Linked DNA regions of Caenorhabditis elegans. The protein of the gene in region 1 interacts with the protein of each later gene in a pairwise test. Each region holds a gene or a part of one and is shown in the gene's direction. Other genes may lie near its edges.

Region 1 (8,143 bases):
GGTAAACGTCCGTTCCTTTTTATTTGCGATCGAAAAATCTTCTACATTTCAATCTCATCCATTTTCTTTTATTTAATTGTTCTATTCGCAACTTTTTCTTTACGGTAGAAGAGAATTGAATGAATGAATACTCTTCTATTTTAGGCAAAAAATGAGAGAAAAGGAACAGGAACTCGGATGACGAGAGAGGGAAAGACCCCATTCAATCATTTATCCCCAATTTCCCTTGACAGCTCACCGCTCTCTCGTCCTTCCCCTTTTTTAGTGTTTTTTATTTCAAAAAAATATTAGCGTTCTTGGCAATTGTTTGAATATTTTAAAATGCACCTTTTTAAATTGAAGTAGGCTACCCTTTTCAAAATCGATCAATTAATTTTCAGACACTTTAAAGGTGGATTACCGAAATCGGAAACTTTGCTTTTTTAGACGCAAAAGAAAATGTGCCCTTTTCCCGAACTTTGAACCACCATAACTTTTTTAAAAAGAATTTTTCAAAACGTCTCATTACGAAATTCGGTAGTTTTGAGTCATTTTGGGCCTAAAAAATAAAGTCTAAGATTTCGGTACTCCGCCTTTGAAGAATTTCGAACAGTTCACTCTTGCTTCTTCTTCATCCTTCAATTCCAAAAAGTGCACTTTAATCAATTTTGTTCTCTTAGTCAATCTGTCACCCTTAGACACATACGAGAATGCATAGCTAATTCGACTTTAGTTCAGGGTCAATCCTTTTTCATTCCAGAAATTGGCCCCAATCTATTCAGTCTTTCCGAACCGTTTTCTGTATGTGTAAGTGTCTGTGTTGTGTGAATGTGCGGCGATTGTGTGAGAGACCGAGAAAACGAACGAACGACGCTAAGAAAAATGTTCACTTCTCACCCAAAAGCGCCGAAAAACGATTGTCATCGCCCCTCGGTCTCTATGATTTCTGTGTGCTCTCAGAACATGGACGTCTGTTGACCAACAAATCCGGTCGATCACACTCATTTTGACCATTTTTTTCTGCCGCGCGGCAAGCTCTTATCACACCATCAGTCATTTTTTGTGGTCTGAAGAATAATGTTTGTAAGCATTGCCACTGTGTGTTTTGCATAGTAGAAAATGTGGCAAGTAGGTTGGTATTTTTATTACATTGAATATTTTCAACTACCGTATTTTATCTAATAGTTTTATACCCCCTTTTCTCAACATTGATATTTCTCGGCAATTTTTGTTTTATCAAAAAGTGGCCAATTGGTAAAATATATACATATATATGTTGATTTTTTCTATTTAAGAACTTTTAAAAATTTCATACCTTGAAAATAATAGTGTACAAGACTAATAGGGAAAATAAGACTAAAATAAAAAAAATCTGTCAGATTTTCAAAATTCACAATGTTAAAATTTTAGCTAATTACATTTTGTAGTTGCTGGAACTTTTCAAAAATTGGATCAAAACGAATACCGTATTCTTACCAGTAGATTTACACCACAATTGTTCAACTTTGGCTGCTCATATTTCGGTTGGCTTTTGTTCTATCAAAAATATTAAAATTAATGCAATTTATTTCTTTCACTACAATCTTAGTTGTTGAATATTTTTTTGATATCTGCACAATGAACCGAGATCTAAGTCGTCAAAGTAATAATGGTATTTAAAAATGTGAGGAAACTAGGGAGTTAAGAGCATCCAAGGGATCAACGTTTTTACATTGGACCAAAGTATCTGCAAAAGCGCGCGGCAAATCATGTAGGCACAAAGGTAGGCATTTGTGTGTTTTCATGAATATTGAGAATTCAGTAAATAATGTGATCTACCTACATAAAGGTTCCTATAGGAGTTCTCTGTAGAGAACTTCAACTATATTTTGGAAGCATGATTTTCCCTGTTTCGCCTTTGTCTCTTCTCAGCATCAATCAAATTTTTGCATTTCTCAGGATTAATGTGTGTCTTTTTCGTTGTGTTCTCGTAACTACGAATCTCCAGCTGATTCCCTCGAGTACAAATTGCAAACAGCCGTCCCCTTCTTCTACTTCTTGTCCTTCATTTTTGTTTCTAAAGTCGCTGTCATCACTGTGATTCTGTGGTGACTGCTGCAGCACAACATGCCAGATGCGTGGCAGATGTTGAAAACTTTCGGAAGTTTGTGTAGAAATCGGAGAAGAAGAAGAAGAACTTGACGAATTATATGAGCCTGACCAGCGCTGTCGTCTCGGTGCGTTTACCATTAGTATGTTACAAAATTGACCTGTCTCCCTTTCTTTTTCTATCCGCAGAGGATTTAACGCTTTATGAGAAAACCGTTCACCATATTATCGGCGAGAAGCAAAAGTGCGTGCCGTAACGGCAAAGTGTATGTTTGTTCTCCAAATATCACATTCAGCTTTTTTGCGCCTCGCAAGAAAATGCTCTAGGCTTGCCGACGGTCAACTCGAACCTTCTGGACCAAATTGAAAATTTTCCGACTGTCCTGAAACTATAGCTCCTAATAGTTGTATTTTATTTTTAAATTCAAAAATTTTCCAACATTAAGAAAGAAGGGAATCGAGTTTCCCAGGTGCAATGACTCACGGCTTTTCGAACGAAAGTGGGATTTTTGACGAATTTCAAATTTTCGAAAGTGGCAAGTATTTTCGCTAAAGTAATGTTATTCTTTTCAAAATATTGTCTAAATTTTCTAATTTATTACTAGAAAGTTTTAAAGTGCTACAGTAATCATGACTCTAAAATTATTAAGTTAACATGTATATTTCAATTTTATCTAATTCATTATAAATATGTATTGAAAACTTACTTATATTATTTAGTTGAATTTTTATTAGAAACACCAGTTTTTACTAAAAAATAGAGTTTAAATATTTTTCATGTCTCTTTTAGTAACAAAATTTATTGAGTGATACCCGTAGAAAACAACAGGTGTGACCGCACTAAAATATATACAACACACTACATTTCCCGCAATTCATGTAGGCCAAATGGTGGTGGGTACACTGCACGCGTGTTAGAGTTGCCCCTCGGTTTAGTCGATCGATAAACAGTATTGCATCCCTGCTAGTCTTCCACATACCTCTTTAAGACACTACATGGAACAATTCAATTTTTTTTCGCTTTTTTCATTTTTTTCTTTTATCAATAATATCTTCGAACTTCCAAAACATTACACGATTTGTTTTGTTTCTGTTCAAATTGAGTTCAAAATAGGGCGCGCGAAATTTTTTTAGTCGAAGACTTCATTTTTCGGTTTTTCTTGCTCGTTTTGCGCTATACTTTTCAATACATTTTGCGCAAATATCTTGTTGTCACCTGACAGTGCTAAACTTTCTGAAAAATCTGCGCGCACTTCTTCTTATTTATTCTTCTTCCAATTTCCAATCTCTGACTCATTATTAATTTGTCATTTCGACAGCGCCTTATTCATATTCACACTGCACTCTTTCTCATCTTTTGCTTGTCCCTTGCTCTCCTTCGGGTTCTCTTGAGGTCGCCGACACACAAACGGTTGTTTCGTAATAAATATTTATTTGTTTTCGCAAAATTTATGCGGTCCCCTTTCTCATGGGCCATTCCGAACTTTGAAGATAGTAATTCATTTTCGTTGCAGAGAAGACATTCCAACTCGACATTCTCTTAATGAACCCACGACTAAAAAGATGACCGACAAAACAGCTGGTGAGATTGAGAGTTTAGTCCATAAACATCAAGATTATTAATTTCAGAACTTTGCCTGAAAATTGGAGATGAAGAAAAGGATGATTTCACATTGGAAATTGAAAAGCTTCAGGTTTGTTTTGATTTGTTTCATGTCTAACGGCTCCACCCCAAAATAAAACTCATTTCAAAACCACTTCCCATTGTTTATTCGCAAGAAAAAAGGATTAGTGAAGTAGTGGAAGGCTCTTCCCAACCACTTGTTCGTCGTCCTTCTGAATTCCTCCCCTCACTATCCCAAGTTTTCAGGCCACTCTTCAAGAAATGCTCGATTGCACGAGCAGCCCAAGCACTTCACTAGATTCCACTGACAAACGTGAGTTATTCAATCATTTATGACCTTCAAGAAAGATATTGAGTTTAACGAAGAAGTTTAAAGTTTGAATATTCCATGCATTTCAAAGTTCAGTTTACAGTGAAATATAAAACAGAGCTTTTAGTTATTGTGTGGTTGAAAAGTTTTTAATTCTTTAGTGAGTTTTTTTTTCAAACATAGATAGATATAATACAATATGCTCCCTATTAGTATTACACCTACATTTCTATACTCTGAGATTTCATATTTCGATTATTTCTAAAGATAAAAATGTAACCTAAATTTTACTAGTTGAATACTTTCACTGTCAAAAGAAACACAGTAGGAGCACACGTTAATACCTAATTTTTTAATATTCATCAAGACTGTCTTAAAATTTTTTTTTGTTTGGGTTCCGAATAAAAATTTAACAACTAAAGCAAAAAAAATCATTGTAAGTCAAGAAAGATCATTTTTGAAAAAAAAACCAAAAATCAGGAAATAGCCAAAAAAAGACTGAAAATAATTTTTAATATTCTAGTGCCATCCGGACTTGCTGCTCGTCGACTGATCCGTATTGCCAGTGAACATCATCATATTTCCACGACATCTTCTTGCCATTCGGACTCTGGAAACTCTTCATCTCGAGACGTCATCACCCCGTTTACAGTACATGGCGGAGCCTCAATTGGACGACTCATTCTGATTGATATTGTGCGACGTGATGATTTAATTGGAATTGTTCATCCTAACGATATTCTTTTAACAATTGAGAACATGTAGGTTTTCTAGAACATTTCTTTTTTTATTATTTAAATTTTCAGAAAAGTATCAGGAATGGTAAGATCTGAAGTGAATAGGATATTGGAAGATATGATGAGAGAACATGATCAAATTGCGATTGAAATTCTACCAGCTGGAGCAATTACCGATGATATTTGTGAACTACTGGCCGATAGAAAATCATCTGGTGAACTTCAGACTATCATTCGAGAAAATTTATATCAGAAGACAGTTCCTTGTGAGTTACAAAAAAAGTTGATCTGAAACTAACTAGATTGGATTTAATACTTATAAGTTTCATTCCTCAAAACCTCATTGTTTTCAATGGCACTAGCAGCTGCCCACAGGGAGTATCATTGAGATGAAATAGTGTGTGATCTAGAGAAACCTAGACATCCGCCCCATTAAATTAGGTGATTTAGGATCTAGGGGATCATCACAAGGTGGGGGAGGGTCCGAAGCTGGCCACCAGTGGAAGTGTTAAAATGTTCGGTTCGCCTTTACCAAAACATTCACTAAAACCTGCATTTCTTTCCAAACGAACATCTCTTCCTGTTATTGATCTAAAAGATTATTATGGAGGGACAAGTATTGAAGTTAAAACAAATTTCAATTTCAAAGTGACCATTTTCAGACACAACTCGACCTCCACGAGAAGGTGAAGTTGATGGAGAACACTATCGATTTGTGTCTGTAGATGATTTTAATAAGCTTCTCGACAGTGGTGACTTGCTCGAAAATGGTACATATCAAGGTAACCTCTTTTCTCCATGTTCAACTATTTTACGCTTATTATCATAAAAGAAAACCGCTGCTTCACGGTTTTACTTGCTCGCGAATCTCCGTAAAATCCAGCCACCTGGTAGCCTTTTTCGGCACCTGTCTTAAGAATTTCTTATTTCTTATTTCCACCGCTTCAATAGCTCCATCTGTCTTTGTCTGCGATCTCTTATATCCCCTATTACCTTCTCATCACACTCACTTACCTGTTTTCTACCTCACAGTCCTCGTCTACCCTCTTACGCAATCTTGGTATGTCCTCAAATGGAGGACTGTACCCTCTACGTCTCCTGCTTCATAACACTATTTCGTGACAAAACACAGTCCCATTCCGCTCATTTTGCATCTTTCTCCTTCCGTTGTCCCTCTCTCTTTCTCTCTTACCTGACACAATGGTTCATTCACCTCTCTCACCAAAATTGGAGTGGATTACATTCTTTGCATGTGTAAAAAGTGCACCCTAAAATTTGAAAATTCTTTCTCAACGGATCTGCCTTCCCAGATCATTTTTCATCCATATGTCCGCCTTGAGAAAATGCATATATCATGCTCACTTGTCATCGGAGCCCACCAATATCCATGTGACAAGTAGCAGTAAACTTGACTATTGTTTTTGGCTCCTCTTCATTCCATTTCGGAAAGAGAAGACTTGGTGATGCCCCCACAGATTCGATTCAATTTCGTTAATTCAATCTCATAGTGGCTTCTTCCATTCTTTTCTGTTTCGTTTCTATTCTTCTTCTTACTTTTTCGCATCCTTCTTATTCTCGCCCTACACTTTCTCTGCTTAATCCCTGTTTGAACTAAATTCTCGGAGAAGACAAGGAGTTAGCAGCAAAAGTTGAATCCTGAAGTTTTTTTTTCGTTTTTTTTCTTTACTGGTGTCGTTGCCTGCCTATTTGCGTCCTTGTCAAAACAATGCCATTTTTCGGTCAAGTACCCTGAACCAGTACTAGTTTTGACAGTAAGTCCGAAAATGGAAGTTGAAAGGGCATAATGATGATGAGGATTGTTATTGAAATAGAGATGCAAAACTGGCGTTTTGACATTCAGGTCTAAATTCTTTTAGTTGTAAATGAGAGTTTACTATGATTTTCGTAACAGACTGTATTTCCCAAATTTTCAGAAAGACGGGGTCCATAGTTTTTTATTTTGTTTTGTTTTATGCAAAAGTGTTCAACTTGTAAAATTTAGGTCGAATCTTTCTTCTTCTTCTCTGAATTTAAAAACATTTGATCAACTTAAGATTAAGACTAGCTGAGCTACAAAATTTCAAAATAGAGCAACGGAGGTGACTGATAAGGAAATTGATTAATTTTCAAAGTCTTCTACAGCTACGACTGATACCAAAAAATAAACTTGTTGCCATAGTTTTAAAATATATTGTTTATCGAAAAATTTGGTGATACAGGCACCAGACCATTTTTTATTTTCGAAAATTACTGAAAATGTTCTTTACTGAAATTGGTTGGCTGGTTTTATTTTGGTTTGTTGTCTAATTGACAGAGTTTCACAGTTATGTTCAATTCTTATGGCTTCAGCCAAAACCATTGTTACTAGCTCTCAGAATTCGAACCATATCTCTTCGATACAAGATTTCTCATCACACACCTCTGATAAGCATAAAACTTTCCGAATCATGTCTTGAAAACTTATGACTATCATAACTTTCTATGCGAGACCTGTTTTCAAGTTTTCAAATCACCAATCTCTTTCACTCTCTCATCTCAAAACAGTTGCCAACAATAACACTACCAAAAAAAACGGCTAACGACGGGCGTCCCGCAATCAGAAAGTTTTGATAAGATTTCACCCATCACTGCGTCTCTTCAACTCACATTGTCTCTTGTCATTTTCAATGACCAACTTTTACTTTTTGGCAGAAAACACCAAAAAAGTGAGAGGTGCGAGCTAGTCATTTGACAAAAAGTGAAAAGAAGTAGGGGGAGGAGTAGGTGGAGACTTCTCATTTTTGACCGAAAGGTTCGTGGGGTTTTTTCCTGTTGGAAATGAAGTTATGGGAAAGACCAATGTCTGTGTCTCTGGGATAACCATTGTGTTTTTTCCATGCAAAAAAGAAAATGGAACCGCCTATTCTTGCTGGTGTCTTTTTTCCGGAATGGGAAATGTTTCAAAACAAAAATTAGTTTTTGAAGCAAAAAGAAAGTTCCCTTCCAAAACATCTCCGCCTACACAATTTCTGGTTTTTGCTCCATTATGTTCCATCACGTGTGAATTGGAAATTAAACAAACTAAACAAATCGGCTACTATTTTCAAACGACACTATAATTATACTATTGTTATTATAACTACTGTTGTCAAATCGGAATTGTTTCGGAATCATCACTAGCAAAATGCAGCGTGTCCGTCGCTTATTGTTAGCCGCCAAATTGCGACGAACACAATCCGAGGACGTGCCCTCATCGAATTCGATGCAAAAAGAAAAAACGATGATGATGAAAGGTAACCGTTAATCGAGGAGAAATAGAATGAAATTAATGCCATTTCCGATTTGTAAGATATTGGAAAAAGGGATACTGTACATATGTAAATTAGGTTGATTCAATTCCCGAAGGTTTTTTGTTCATTTGCTAAT
Region 2 (4,797 bases), on another chromosome or scaffold:
TTGCACGTGATGATTTTATACACAGCTTCTTGGCTGAATATATCTGGAAGGAAACAACAAATTTCTGTGAATTTTCAAATTTCAGACTCTACCACAGGCTCCGCCAGAATCAAGTAATCCATTCCAACAAAATCCACCTCCGCCGTCTCGAACGGGCGAGCTCGGAGGCAATCAAACCAGGTCGTGTAGTCATATCTCAGGGATTCAATCCGCATTCTTACAAAAATGTGTCGAATATTCAATTGGCAGCACGCCTCGAGACCATATGGATGATTCTGCAAACGCACGACGGTCTCGTCACGACAAAATTTCGTTAATTGATAAAAGGTGTGCGCCTTTAAAGAGCACTGTAATTGAAAACTTTCGTTGCTCACGCGGGATCCTGGCCTTGCTCATTGAATTTTTCGCGCTCCATTGATAATCTCCCGCTGGACAACGCGTGGGAAAGTCGTGTACTCCACACGGACACGTACATTTCGTTTTACAACTAAAACCGAGCCGCGACGCGACACGCAACGCACCTTAAATCTACCCCAGATATGGCCGAGCCAAAATGGACTAGTTCGGCCTAAACTCTTCCATTTCAATTTATGAGGGAAGCCAGAAATCTGTGAAAACTAGAAGAAAATAATTAAAAACCCCAAATTTCCAACAAATTATAGAAAAAACTAGATAACACAAAAATTTGTAATTACAGTACTCTTTAAAGGCGCACACATAATCGCGTAAGAATTACCAGAATTTGCAGTGTATGAATACTTGTTCCTGGTCGATTTAAATAGAAATCCACCAATTTCCGAAAGGTTTCAGTCTGTGAATCTTCAGGACTTGCAATTAAAATTCCGAATTGTTGAACTCCACCGAATAAAACGTTGGCGCCAAGCTGAGCAGTTTGAATATTGAAATTATATTTTTTATCAATCGAAAAGTGCCAGTCCTCCCTTGTTGTATCGATTTTTATACAATTAAAGTGATAGGGAAGCTTTTTTTCAAGCTTGCGAAATATCGAGTTGAAATTTGCAAGATGGCTTCTGTAATCGTGTTTTCAAATGGATTCTAAAATAAAACCCACTTCTTGTCAAATGATAAATATTTGAATATGCATGGGACGCTTTCAGAATACATTTTAAGCTGAAATATTATCAATAATTGCAGCAAAAAAGGCAAAATTGCGAAATTTCTTGCTACGAAATTTTCTTCAGTGAAAATTAATTGTTCTAGTTGGTATCAAGTGTATGCAAATGGAAAAACGGTAAAAAATATATTTCAAATCATGTTTTCATAAGTTTGTCTTTATAAATCTTTATTCCAGACCTGTTTCCTTCTTTTGCGCGTGGGGTACGGTACGCAGTCCGCAAACACCGAATGCGAGCGCGAAAATTTTTCGATTAATTTTATAATTTTTTCCGCCATTTTTCTCATTTTCCACGCATTTTTCGATTTCTTTTGTGATTTTTACCTTAAAAAAGTTAATTTTCACGTTAATTTCCCTCAAAAATTCGATTTTCTCCGATTATTTCTCATTATTTTCTTCAGAATGCCACCACGCAAGATCAAGAAGGACCCGGCTGTGGTTGCGATGGCGGATACTCTCGAGACGCGTGGTAAGCTTGAAGATCTCCAGTAATTTATTATATTTAAATAATTTATTTTCCAGTCAAGGACTTACTCGAGGAGTATAAGAAGAAGCTGCGGGAGGTCGCCCTTCAGACAGCAAAGGCTGAATCCGACCGGATCATCGCCACAATCAAGCCAAAATACAGGGATATGCCGATCATGGAGTTTCTGGCATCGCCACCGGATGATTTCTACATTGAATCCGGCGAGGAGGAGGAGGAAGGAGAAGCGGCGGTGGCGGTTAAGCAGGAGCTTCCTTCCGAGCCTGACATGGAAATCGACGACGCGGCGGCGGCGCAAAAGACGAGCATTCCGATTGGCCAGAACTCGTAAGTTTTCAAAAAAATCCAAATTTCCGCCATTTACTTTTATCAATAAATTTTCCAGCGGCCGGAACACGGTGCAGGTCAAGCAGGAGCCTGAAATCGACGACGATGCGGCGCATGAGACGAGCATTCCGATTGCTCCATCTGGCCAGAACTCGTAAGTTTTCAACAAAAAAAAAATCGATTTCTCAATAAATAAATTAATTTTTTTTCAGCGGCAGGAACACGGCGGCCGACGAGCACCGCCGCAACGAGATCATAACGCCAGCTGGACAAGTGCTCCCACTGCCAACACTTCAACCGGAAAAGCCATTCCGTGCTCCACACGTTGACGAGGAAATCGCCTTCTCGGTGAACGGATCGCCACTGGTCTTGGCTGGAAGAACTACTGCTACTGCTGCTGGCAAGGAGAATCGGAAGAAGTCGAAGAAATCTGGTGCGGCGAGCAAGAAGGCAGCGGCAGCAGCCGGGCCTCTCCAGCCGGAAACTGAAAATGCCGGGACGTCTGTATAGGAAAAATCCCCCGATTTAATTTTTCCCCCGCTTTAATTTTTATAATGATCTGTAAATACTTGATATTTCAATTTTTCCCGTCTTTTACCTTTTATATGCAAATTTTTTGATCTCAACGATCGTTTGATTCTCTAAATAGACTGCAAAAAATTTGACTGCAAAAAATCGAAAAAAAATTAGTTTTTTTTCAGAGAAAATCGGAAAGAAAACTTCCAGCCTTCTTGTACTACTCTTGGACAACTGTGAACTAGTTATTTAAACAGTTTTTGACAAGAATCCGCGATTTTGTTCAACTTACGCTAATTCTTTTTGTGTTTTACATCAGCGGTGGACGCCAAACTGTCGGAATTGAAGATTTCCGGCAAATCTGTAATTTGCCGGAATTGAATATTTGCGGCAAATCTGTAATTTGCCGGAATTGAATATTTGCGGCAAATCTGTAATTTGCCGGAATTAAATGTTTCCGGAACATCGGCAAATTGCCGGTATTAAATGTTTCCGGAACATCGGCAAATTGCCGGAATTGAGTATTTCCGGTAATTCGGCAAATTGCCGGAATTGAGTATTTCCGGCAAATCGGCAAATTGCCGGAATTGAAATTTCCAGCAAATCGGCAAATTGCCGTAAATGATTATTTCCGGCAAATCGGCAAATTGCCGGAATTAAATATTTCCGTAGATAAAGTTTTTACAGAAAAGTCATCAACTGATAAGTTGTTGATATTGTTGTAAAGAACAAGTTTGTAGTTGAAAGTTTTTTACCAAAAAATTTTTGTTTGAGATAAATAAAACCGCGTGAAGTGCGGCTTATGATCCTTTGAAGCTGAAGGATCAGATCACCAGGAGGTACCCTTCTTATCCTTCGGAGCTGAATGATCAGATTACCAGGAGGTACTCTTCTTATCCTTCGGAGCTGAATGATCAGATCACCAGGAGGTACCCTTCTGATCCTTCGGAGCTGAAGGATCAGATCACCAGGAGGTACCCTTCTTATCCTTCGGAGCTGAATGATCAGATTACCAGGAGGTACTCTTCTTATCCTTCGGAGCTGAATGATCAGATCACCAGGAGGTACCCTTCTTATCCTTTGAAGCTGAAGGATCAGATCACCAGGAGGTACCCTTCTTATCCTTCGGAGCTGAATGATCAGATTACCAGGAGGTACTCTTCTTATCCTTCGGAGCTGAATGATCAGATCACCAGGAGGTACCCTTCTGATCCTTCGGAGCTGAAGGATCAGATCACCAGGAGGTACCCTTCTTATCCTTCGGAGCTGAATGATCAGATTACCAGGAGGTACTCTTCTTATCCTTCGGAGCTGAAGGATCAGATCACCAGGAGGTACCCTTCTTATCCTTCGGAGCTGAATGATCAGATTACCAGGAGGTACTCTTCTTATCCTTCGGAGCTGAATGATCAGATCACCAGGAGGTACCCTTCTTATCCTTTGAAGCTGAAGGATCAGATCACCAGGAGGTACCCTTCTTATCCTTCGGAGCTGAAGGATCAGATCACCAGGAGGTACCCTTCTTATCCTTCGGAGCTGAATGATCAGATTACCAGGAGGTACTCTTCTTATCCTTCGGAGCTGAATGATCAGATCACCAGGAGGTACCCTTCTTATCCTTTGAAGCTGAAGGATCAGATCACCAGGAGGTACCCTTCTTATCCTTCGGAGCTGAATGATCAGATTACCAGGAGGTACTCTTCTTATCCTTCGGAGCTGAATGATCAGATCACCAGGAGGTACCCTTCTTATCCTTCGGAGCTGAATGATCAGATCACCAGGAGGTACCCTTCTTATCCTTTGAAGCTGAAGGATCAGATCACCAGGAGGTACCCTTCTTATCCTTCGGAGCTGAATGATCAGATTACCAGGAGGTACTCTTCTTATCCTTCGGAGCTGAATGATCAGATCACCAGGAGGTACCCTTCTGATCCTTCGGAGCTGAAGGATCAGATCACCAGGAGGTACCCTTATGATCCTTTGAAGCTGAAGGATCAGATCACCAGGAGGTACCCCCTGTGATCCTTCGGAGCTTGAGGATCAGATTATAAGGAAGAATCTTACGATATTCCAAGTTAGTTGGACGTTTTACAGCATTTTCCCAAAAGATCATTGTTCATACATTCAATTGTGAGTAGTCAAGGCCGGAAATCCATGGAAAATTGCATTTAAAAACTTATTCCAGTGAAAAAAAAACAAAAATCGATCGAGAAATATATATAAAAAACTAGTTGAAAAAGTTTGTCACCGAAGATCCGGTCAGAGACAAATGGCACTTTGTCGACTGGATACCATATCACTTTGGATACTTTGTCCCCAAAAATACCTTGTCACC
Region 3 (7,649 bases), on another chromosome or scaffold:
TTATTGTTCTTCTTTTTTCTCTTCTTTCGCTTCTGTGAATGTGTGGTGAGGGCCGTAAAGATTTTTCTTTAGTTTTGCAGTTTTCAGTGTGTATAATTTTGTAGTTATGGACAAGATGAATGACTTGATGCATTACCAAAAGTTTTGCAATTAGGAAAAAAAGCTATTTCAAAATTGTGTTTTTTTTTAGAAAATTATTAATAACTCTCAATTTCAAATAGTTTTTTTTCTATTTCACGACATTCAATTTATAATTGAAGTTCAAATGTAGAGTTATTTTTTTGTAAATTAATCATGTTAGTGAAACATATTTTTTTCCAACTTACAATAAACCATGGCTCACTGTTCTTGTTGATCGAAATTTTTTTTTTCATTTTTAAAATTACGTCGATATGAAAATGTAGTGCTGAAAACATCAAGACTTATTTTGAAAATATATTTGGATTTCTAAAAATATTGTTTATTTAAAATACTTCAAGTGGGGCATCCAGAGGTGGAACTTTATTCCCTTAACATTTTATTGTCGAAACTGAAATTTTCCTGATTTATTTTTTCTAAATAATCCTTTTTCATCTTCATCCTTAAAAATATTTCTAATCTAATCGGTTCTTCTCATCGTTTTCTTCCACACAATTCAATGTGTCCCAACTCTTTACCCATCTCTTCACAAAAATGTCAATTTCTGTTCAATTTCCCATGGGAGTTCGATTTTCCGTTTCCCATCCTTTTCCAAACTCGGAGAGCTTGGGGCAACTCAAGAAAAAAAACATTTGGAATACGGATTCCTTAAGATGTGCATCAAAGTACTAGACCTCCTCTTCTTCTAGATCTACTTTCTTTTTCCCCGTATTCACTTCTTTTGTCCCAAATTTCTTTTCATTCCAAATTGGATTCAGTTCCCCTGAGAAGCTCGCCTGAGCCGGCGGGTCACATTAGAGAGTACTACTCTTCTTTTTTCCCGAAAATTTCAATTTGACAGAGTGATTTCAAATAGGGACTAGTACCGAAAAAACATTTTGGGCGGAGTTGTAAACGGTGAAAAAAGTTTAAAAGTTTGAATTTATCTTGAGTTCGGACTTCCTTTCGTTCTAAAAGTATATTGCACAAACACAGGTTTTTTTCGAACTCCAAAACTTGACTTCTAGTTGAAGTATATGTTTAGTTAGTTTTCTAATAAATATAGTTCATTCTAGGACTATTCCCATATTTCCTACCTGCCATTTTTCTTGCCTACAGCAATTTTTCAGTGTCGCTGGGAACTCTTGTATATGATATACATTTCTCCCATTTTAACTTTTTGTTGAAAGTTTCTTCTATGTCATGCCAGTAAACATGCGTGTAGGCAGATAGTTTATTTTGTGCAGTTTGCACTTTTGCGCTTGCTCTGATGTTTTTCTCTCAAATTGATTTTTATTCTATCCAATTGGCATTTTCATTTCTTATCTGTTTCCCATTATCTTCCACAAATTTCCCTCTCTTTTTTCGCCTCATTTTCCGTTTCCAATCCCATCATTTTTCGTTCATTTGCTCCCCACCAATTTTTCCTCAATCGTCTCATGACCTCAAATTGATGGATCACTTTCTCACCTATATCTCTAAATCTCCATGTCTATTCATACTATCTCATCTTCATCTCGAATATCAATCAAAAGTCATCCAAGAATTCTCGTCTCATGAAAATGTCAACACAAACAAAATGTGCTTGAGCTAATTGTTTTTTGTGGGGTGGAACTTTTTGTGCAAGAGCCTGAAATAGCTAAAGCATATAAAATCTACAGTAATCCCTTCATAATTGATCCTCTGGTACTCCATCATTATTGCATGCAGACTCAGAAATGGATTCTAAAACAATTATTCATCAATTGTCCTCTTCTTTTCTTTCTTTTATTTTTCACCATGCACATTTTTCTCTTTCTGCATCGAAAGATTTATAAAATAAAAACTTCAATAAAAATTTTCCTAATTTTCAGATGAGATAGGATTGATAATTTTTATTCGTATTTCACACACACGTAGAAAAAAGAAGAGCCATCACTAAAAACTACATGATTACTTGCCGCCGGTCTGTAGGTAAGATATATTGAGCATGAAGTTTGAATTATTGAATATTATTCAGGTCAATGGGTGTTTTTGTGTGTCGCGACAACATCAATCTCATCACGAATCATCGACGATCAATGGGACAGCGGCAAGCAAAGCAACACATGCAGGTTGGTAATAGTTTTGATATGGGGAATTTTTTTTTCGGAAACTAAAATTTATGCGAACTTCTGTGATGTTTTTTAAAATGTTTTATCATTCCTGTTTGGCATTCCCCAATTTTAAACATTTATTTCTGCAGGCTGGCGTCAAACTTTATCATCAACGACATTACGCACAGGCTATCAATAAATGGAGACAGTCTCTGAACAGGTTAAAGTAAGTCTTTCAGACGACTCCTCTTCTTTTCTATAACGTCCATTTTCAGCAATGCAGAAGACCGGTTTATCACTCTCGGATACCTTGCTCAAGCTCTTTGCGACCAGGGAGAATACGAAGGAATGCTTTCATATGCTCTATCACAAATGCAGTTGGCAACCGATCAAAACGATTCAGCAATGAAATGCGAGGCATTTTTGAATCTAGCAAAAGCCTATGAACGATTAGCAGATTTCACGAAAGCCCTCCAGTATGGCAAAGCATCGTTAGAACATCCTTCGATGGATCCCAGGACGCCTGGTTATGCACATTTAAGTAAGAATTTTCAATAGGTTCTAGACAAAACTGTGGCTATTTCAGCAATAGCACTTGCACACTTAGGAATGTCCCAGTTCCAACAGTGTCTGGAAAGTTTCGAGTCAGCAATGAATGTTGCCAATGAGACATCGGATAGGTTACTCGAATTGCAAATTTGTGTTGGTCTAGGATCTCTTTTTACTCTTTTGAGGTAACCGTACAGAAATGAAAAATAACACATTTTTATTTTCAGAGATATCACTAAAGCTCTGATATTTCTTCGAAATGCTCTCGCAATTGTTCAATCTGTTACTGTTGATGATGTTCATGCAAAGTATCGTTGTTTGATACTTTATCATTTATCAGTTGCTCTAAGGATGAAAGGAAGTCTGGTTGATGCCAAGGAAGCATGCGATGTAAGTTTTTATTTAAAGTTTAAGAACTTCAAAAAGTATTGAATGATTCCAGGAAGCTTCCCAGCTAGCTGTTGAGATGGGTAATCGAGCGATCCATGCAAGATGTATGTGCAGTTTAGCAGATATTTATAGAGAATTGGGAGAGAGTGAAGCCAAAGAGACTATCACTGTGAGTAATTTTAAATTCTCAGTTATTTCAGTAAAAAAACGTTATGCTTGAAAAGTTAATAATAACAACTAACTTTCATTAAAACTTGTATTAGAAATCAATGAGTTTTTTTTTTCTATTGTTAGATAATAAACTCTTTCTTACAGAAATCCTGGGCAAGATACGAAGATGCTTATCGTGTAATGCGCGGAGCAAATGATAAAATGGGCGAAGTAAGTGGCCAAAAAACCTTCAATTATTTATTGGTACAACCAAATACCTCATAAAACCAAAAGCTCACATCCAGGTCTCAATTTCTTTTCCCATTAAATAACTTTTACGACTTTCCCATAAATCTTGAAGCTTTGTGGTTGACACAATCTCACATAGAGATCAGACAACATGAGTATATTTCTGGGGAATTGTGAGAAAATAATTTTAATAAGTTCTGAGTGTTTTTCAGGTATTAGTGCTCTCGTCAATGGCAAAAAGTGCATCTGAAAGTCGATCTCATTACACTGGACAATGTGAATGTCAAGCTATTCAATTGAATAAAAAGTGTATTGAAATTGCAAATCAGATAGGGTGCAAGGTACAAAATCGATAGGATGATTCCACAAAACTTCAAAATTTTGTTTCAGCACGTTGTCTTAAAGTGCCATCTCCGACTAGCCGAACTATATTCTCAACTGAATGATGACGATTCTGAGGAAACTGCTCGAAGAGCTGCGTCTCGGTTAACACAAGAAATGCAATTGTTTTGTAACTTCTGCGGTCAAAGATATGGATTGAAGGATGAGAGTCTTCAAGCTCTTAGGTGTTCGCATATTTTCCATGAAAAGTATGAATGAGTTTCAGAGATTCTAAAAATAAAGTTGTAATGTTTCAGATGCTTACACACGTATCTCCTACAAAGAACAGATCAAACCTGCCCGAAATGTAGATGCAGAGCTGTTTTATCGGACAATATCTCGATACGAAGTTCTATTGCTTCAACAATTGATGTTCAGAGTCCTAGCAGTAAGATTTTTATTATAAACATTTATACTTGAAAATTTATTCGAAAAAATATTAAACTATGAAGCCGAAATTTGAAGTCAACTTTTGTAGAGTATTCAGCAAAAAACATGGTAAAGAAGTTGTCCAAGTTTTAGTTCAAAGCGAACTTTTTCTTCTGAAAACTATTCTAATAGTATTTTTAAAGGTTTATTTTTTATCATTATTGAAAAAATATTTTTTGAATGTCAGCGCGTAATCAATAAACTTTAATTTCAGCGTCTTTCGCCCCACCGGGAGGTGTTGCCACTCCACTTGTCTCAGCAGCTGCCGAACTTGGAGATATCACACCACAAGCCACATTAACACGACGTTCACAACAGGACAAGATTCTTCGTGGCGCCGAGAAAGATATTGATCGAGTTGATCGAAGTCTTGCTAGGCTAAAATCACAACAATCTGCAGCGGCGAATGCATGTTCAGCAGTTGCAGTTCCGTCACCTGAAGTACCTTCAACAACGGCTTCTTGTGCTTCCGAACCGATTCTTACTGCATCGACGACATCGCAGTCACACACGCATTCGAATGCAAATCATAAACCACCACCACCTCCACGGAAACCTTGTTGCTCACAGGTAATATTATTGAAGGAGTTTAAATGATCTTTCTGAACTTTAAATTTTTTCATATGACCTTAAATTGTATTTTGAGAAATCACCTAAATTTGAATGTTTTCAGGCAGCCCTACCTCCATCATCAATAGTAGCTCTTCCTCCAGCAATGCCACTAGCAGAAGATGGTCCTCTTGTGATAACTCACACGCCTACAGTAACAGATGTTTGAAGCCTCAATACAAACTGCAATCATCCCCTCGAAATCCCTTGTTTTGTGATATCATTTATCGTTTTTTTTTAAATAGGAATCTTCAAAATTTTGAATTTCTAGTCTTCTACATTGTCACCCACCAGTTTCTTTCCTGCTCATGTTCACTTTTCAATCTTTTTTTTCAATTAATCTTTTAGAAGTTATTCTTATTTTTATTTTTGATCTCAATTCATATGTTTCAAAGTTTTAATTCTTTCCATAAAAATTTGTTTCAATTTTTGAATATGATGAAATCTTGTGCATGATAACACCCACAAGCTGAAACTTTGTGTGATAGTTGTCCATCTCATTGAGAAAAATTCTGAAAATAGATGAACCCACATGATTTTATTCTCTAAAACTTCAACATTTAACAGAAAAAAATTCAAAATCGGGGGAATTTTTAAACGGTGAAAGCAATTTTGAATTGAAAACTGTGTACGGGCTTAGGAGAACTTAAACATAGATAACCGCTGTATTTTTTAACTCCATCTTCCAATATTTGAATTCAAAACTTAACTAGCATAAAAATTTTAAAGATGACCTCTGTAAACTGTAATAATTAAAAGTTGGGCAGCAATCTTTGTATGATCTAAATCAAAATGTTATCTATATTTCAAAGAACTGTAAAGTGATAAGTTTCCAAAAAATCTTATAGTTTTTTAAGTGATTATGATTATTGTAGTCATCATAATTTCTTTAAACACTACAGACGCCTTTCAGAATAATGTCATCATTTTACCTCTTAAAATTTTAAACTTTGTCCGACAGTCTCTCAACTTCCGTCTCTAATCAAAAAAATCATTTCCTGACTTGAAAACTATAAAACCCAACGCATGAATGCACTGAGACCATTCAACTGATAACCATTATTTCCTGGCTACACAAACCTATTACTTCATACATATTCCAAAACCACCCAAGCCAGCTTGCCAAAATAGCGCGAAATTTTGAATTTTCAGATTTCCACTATATTTCCAGATATTTAATCAATCAATTTTTAAGTGAACTTCCCACCATGCACCAAAAAATTCAATGGAAAAATCGCGTTGGCTTACGAAATGACAAAGCTTCCACAAACACAGGGAGTTCTTAATTTCATTCAGAAATATCTTTACAATTCTACAAACTACAATTTTGAAGATGGGAGCACTCAAGCTATTAATGTACCATATCCAGATTCAGGTGTCTATGAAAATTACATACTTCATTATCCAGATGCTACGTGAGTTCTTATCTTGAATTTTGGTCCTAATTATTTTTTTTAATTTCAGGAGCACTGAACTTTTGGACATAAATATTGATCAATTATACAGTGAAGTTATGGTTCTGACTGACCCAAAGATTGAGAGGTACTCAATTTATTTTTATGTTTAACAGCCGGTTTTTGCAATTTAGAAGCTTGAAATGTAGACTTCTTCATTATCAAAATTTTCAGAGCATATGAATATATTCTTGAGGAACGCGATCCAGGAACTTCATCCACTAATATCCTGGTCACCGTCGGCGTTGAGTGAGTTACAATTATAACAACTATTTACATATTCCAAAGTTTTACCTTTTTAGTGATATAGCTGCATTTGATGGAAGTGCATCCAGTTATATGCATCAACTTCAACAAAAATACAATTTCCGTTCGATCGTGGTCTCGATTGGACCAAATCCAAATTACCTGGAAGTTTTGGCTGAGAGCCCAGATTGGTATTTCACTGCAACTGATTCTAACGGAAAATGGGTTGCTGAACAGATTTCAAGAATTATTTGTCATTTGTAAGCATAATTCTGAAATAACTAAAATAAATAATGTTTTATTCCAATTTTGGTTTAAATATTCATATGTGTTTGCGAGGTACAAAATACTTTTTATGAATTTAACGTTTATTTAAATTGAAACATAAACGTCGTTGAAAAGGCGGAATCGGAGACACCCTCGTTGAGTTACACGTATTAGGAAAATGTGAAAAATATACAGCTATCAAAAAATTAATAAAATTAGAATGATGTGGCACACGGTCCCGCATAATAGTCACATTCATGTTCTGGATATCTTCGGAAATTTTGTGGAGTTCTGTGATTGGATCTTCCAGTGTTCAAACCTCGTTCAATGTATTCGGCAAGATCATACGGTGTTCTGAAATATAAATTTAGGCAACATTGGCAGAATTTTAAATGAAAAAGGTTACGGTCTAGCAATGGGGAACATTGGAATTCCCATATTATCCGGATGATTTCCTCCTTGATTTCTTCCTCCATTTTTATTCCTGTTCATTTTTTGACCATTTCCAATGTTTCCACCAATGTTCCCAATATTTCCAATATGATAGTTACTCCTATTATTTTTAACCCGACTATTTGTCTTTCTTTGCTCTTCTGGATAACTGATCAGAGTTGGATGTCTGCAATATAATCAATAAATTTTAATTCTTATCTGAAAAACTAACATGGCACCCATTCCATTTCTATTTCCACCGGTACTTCCAACTTTTCCTATTGCTTTCGGTTTTTTCGGG

What was found. The genes of interacting proteins can lie anywhere in the genome.
Region 2: the proteins of magi-1 (region 1) and csc-1 interact in a two-hybrid assay, tested with the Caenorhabditis elegans proteins (2 studies listed by BioGRID).
Region 3: the proteins of magi-1 (region 1) and rpy-1 interact in a two-hybrid assay, tested with the Caenorhabditis elegans proteins (2 studies listed by BioGRID).

Annotation. Positions count from the first base shown.
Region 1 is NC_003282.8:11,711,460-11,719,602, forward strand, and holds the start of magi-1 (Guanylate kinase), read left to right. Parts: upstream 1-3,579; 5' UTR 3,580-3,630; coding exon 3,631-3,649; intron 3,650-3,696; coding exon 3,697-3,761; intron 3,762-3,937; coding exon 3,938-4,004; intron 4,005-4,524; coding exon 4,525-4,762; intron 4,763-4,807; coding exon 4,808-5,004; intron 5,005-5,065; exon of another isoform or gene 5,066-5,242; intron 5,243-5,400; coding exon 5,401-5,520; intron 5,521-5,759; exon of another isoform or gene 5,760-5,904; intron 5,905-7,405; exon of another isoform or gene 7,406-7,616; intron 7,617-7,663; exon of another isoform or gene 7,664-7,901; coding exon of another isoform or gene 7,902-8,010; intron 8,011-8,143.
Region 2 is NC_003280.10:13,595,419-13,600,215, forward strand, and holds csc-1 (Chromosome segregation and cytokinesis defective protein 1), read left to right. Parts: upstream 1-1,536; 5' UTR 1,537-1,537; coding exon 1,538-1,604; intron 1,605-1,657; coding exon 1,658-1,946; intron 1,947-2,004; coding exon 2,005-2,100; intron 2,101-2,158; coding exon 2,159-2,456; 3' UTR 2,457-2,529; downstream 2,530-4,797. Other genes in the region: fbxc-23 (FTH domain-containing protein), read right to left, coding at 1-43, 93-275, 737-1,031, 1,073-1,125. UniProt on the Caenorhabditis elegans protein: Component of the chromosomal passenger complex (CPC), a complex that acts as a key regulator of chromosome segregation and cytokinesis during mitosis.
Region 3 is NC_003280.10:6,699,965-6,707,613, reverse strand, and holds rpy-1 (43 kDa receptor-associated protein of the synapse homolog), read left to right. Parts: upstream 1-1,970; 5' UTR 1,971-2,070; intron 2,071-2,116; 5' UTR 2,117-2,120; coding exon 2,121-2,210; intron 2,211-2,341; coding exon 2,342-2,418; intron 2,419-2,467; coding exon 2,468-2,733; intron 2,734-2,778; coding exon 2,779-2,926; intron 2,927-2,968; coding exon 2,969-3,131; intron 3,132-3,183; coding exon 3,184-3,300; intron 3,301-3,446; coding exon 3,447-3,512; intron 3,513-3,742; coding exon 3,743-3,871; intron 3,872-3,920; coding exon 3,921-4,120; intron 4,121-4,168; coding exon 4,169-4,299; intron 4,300-4,554; coding exon 4,555-4,910; intron 4,911-5,013; coding exon 5,014-5,118; 3' UTR 5,119-5,381; downstream 5,382-7,649. Other genes in the region: C18H9.6 (uncharacterized protein), read left to right, coding at 6,201-6,364, 6,414-6,491, 6,578-6,652, 6,706-6,913; C18H9.1 (uncharacterized protein), read right to left, coding at 7,132-7,270, 7,323-7,535, 7,581-7,649.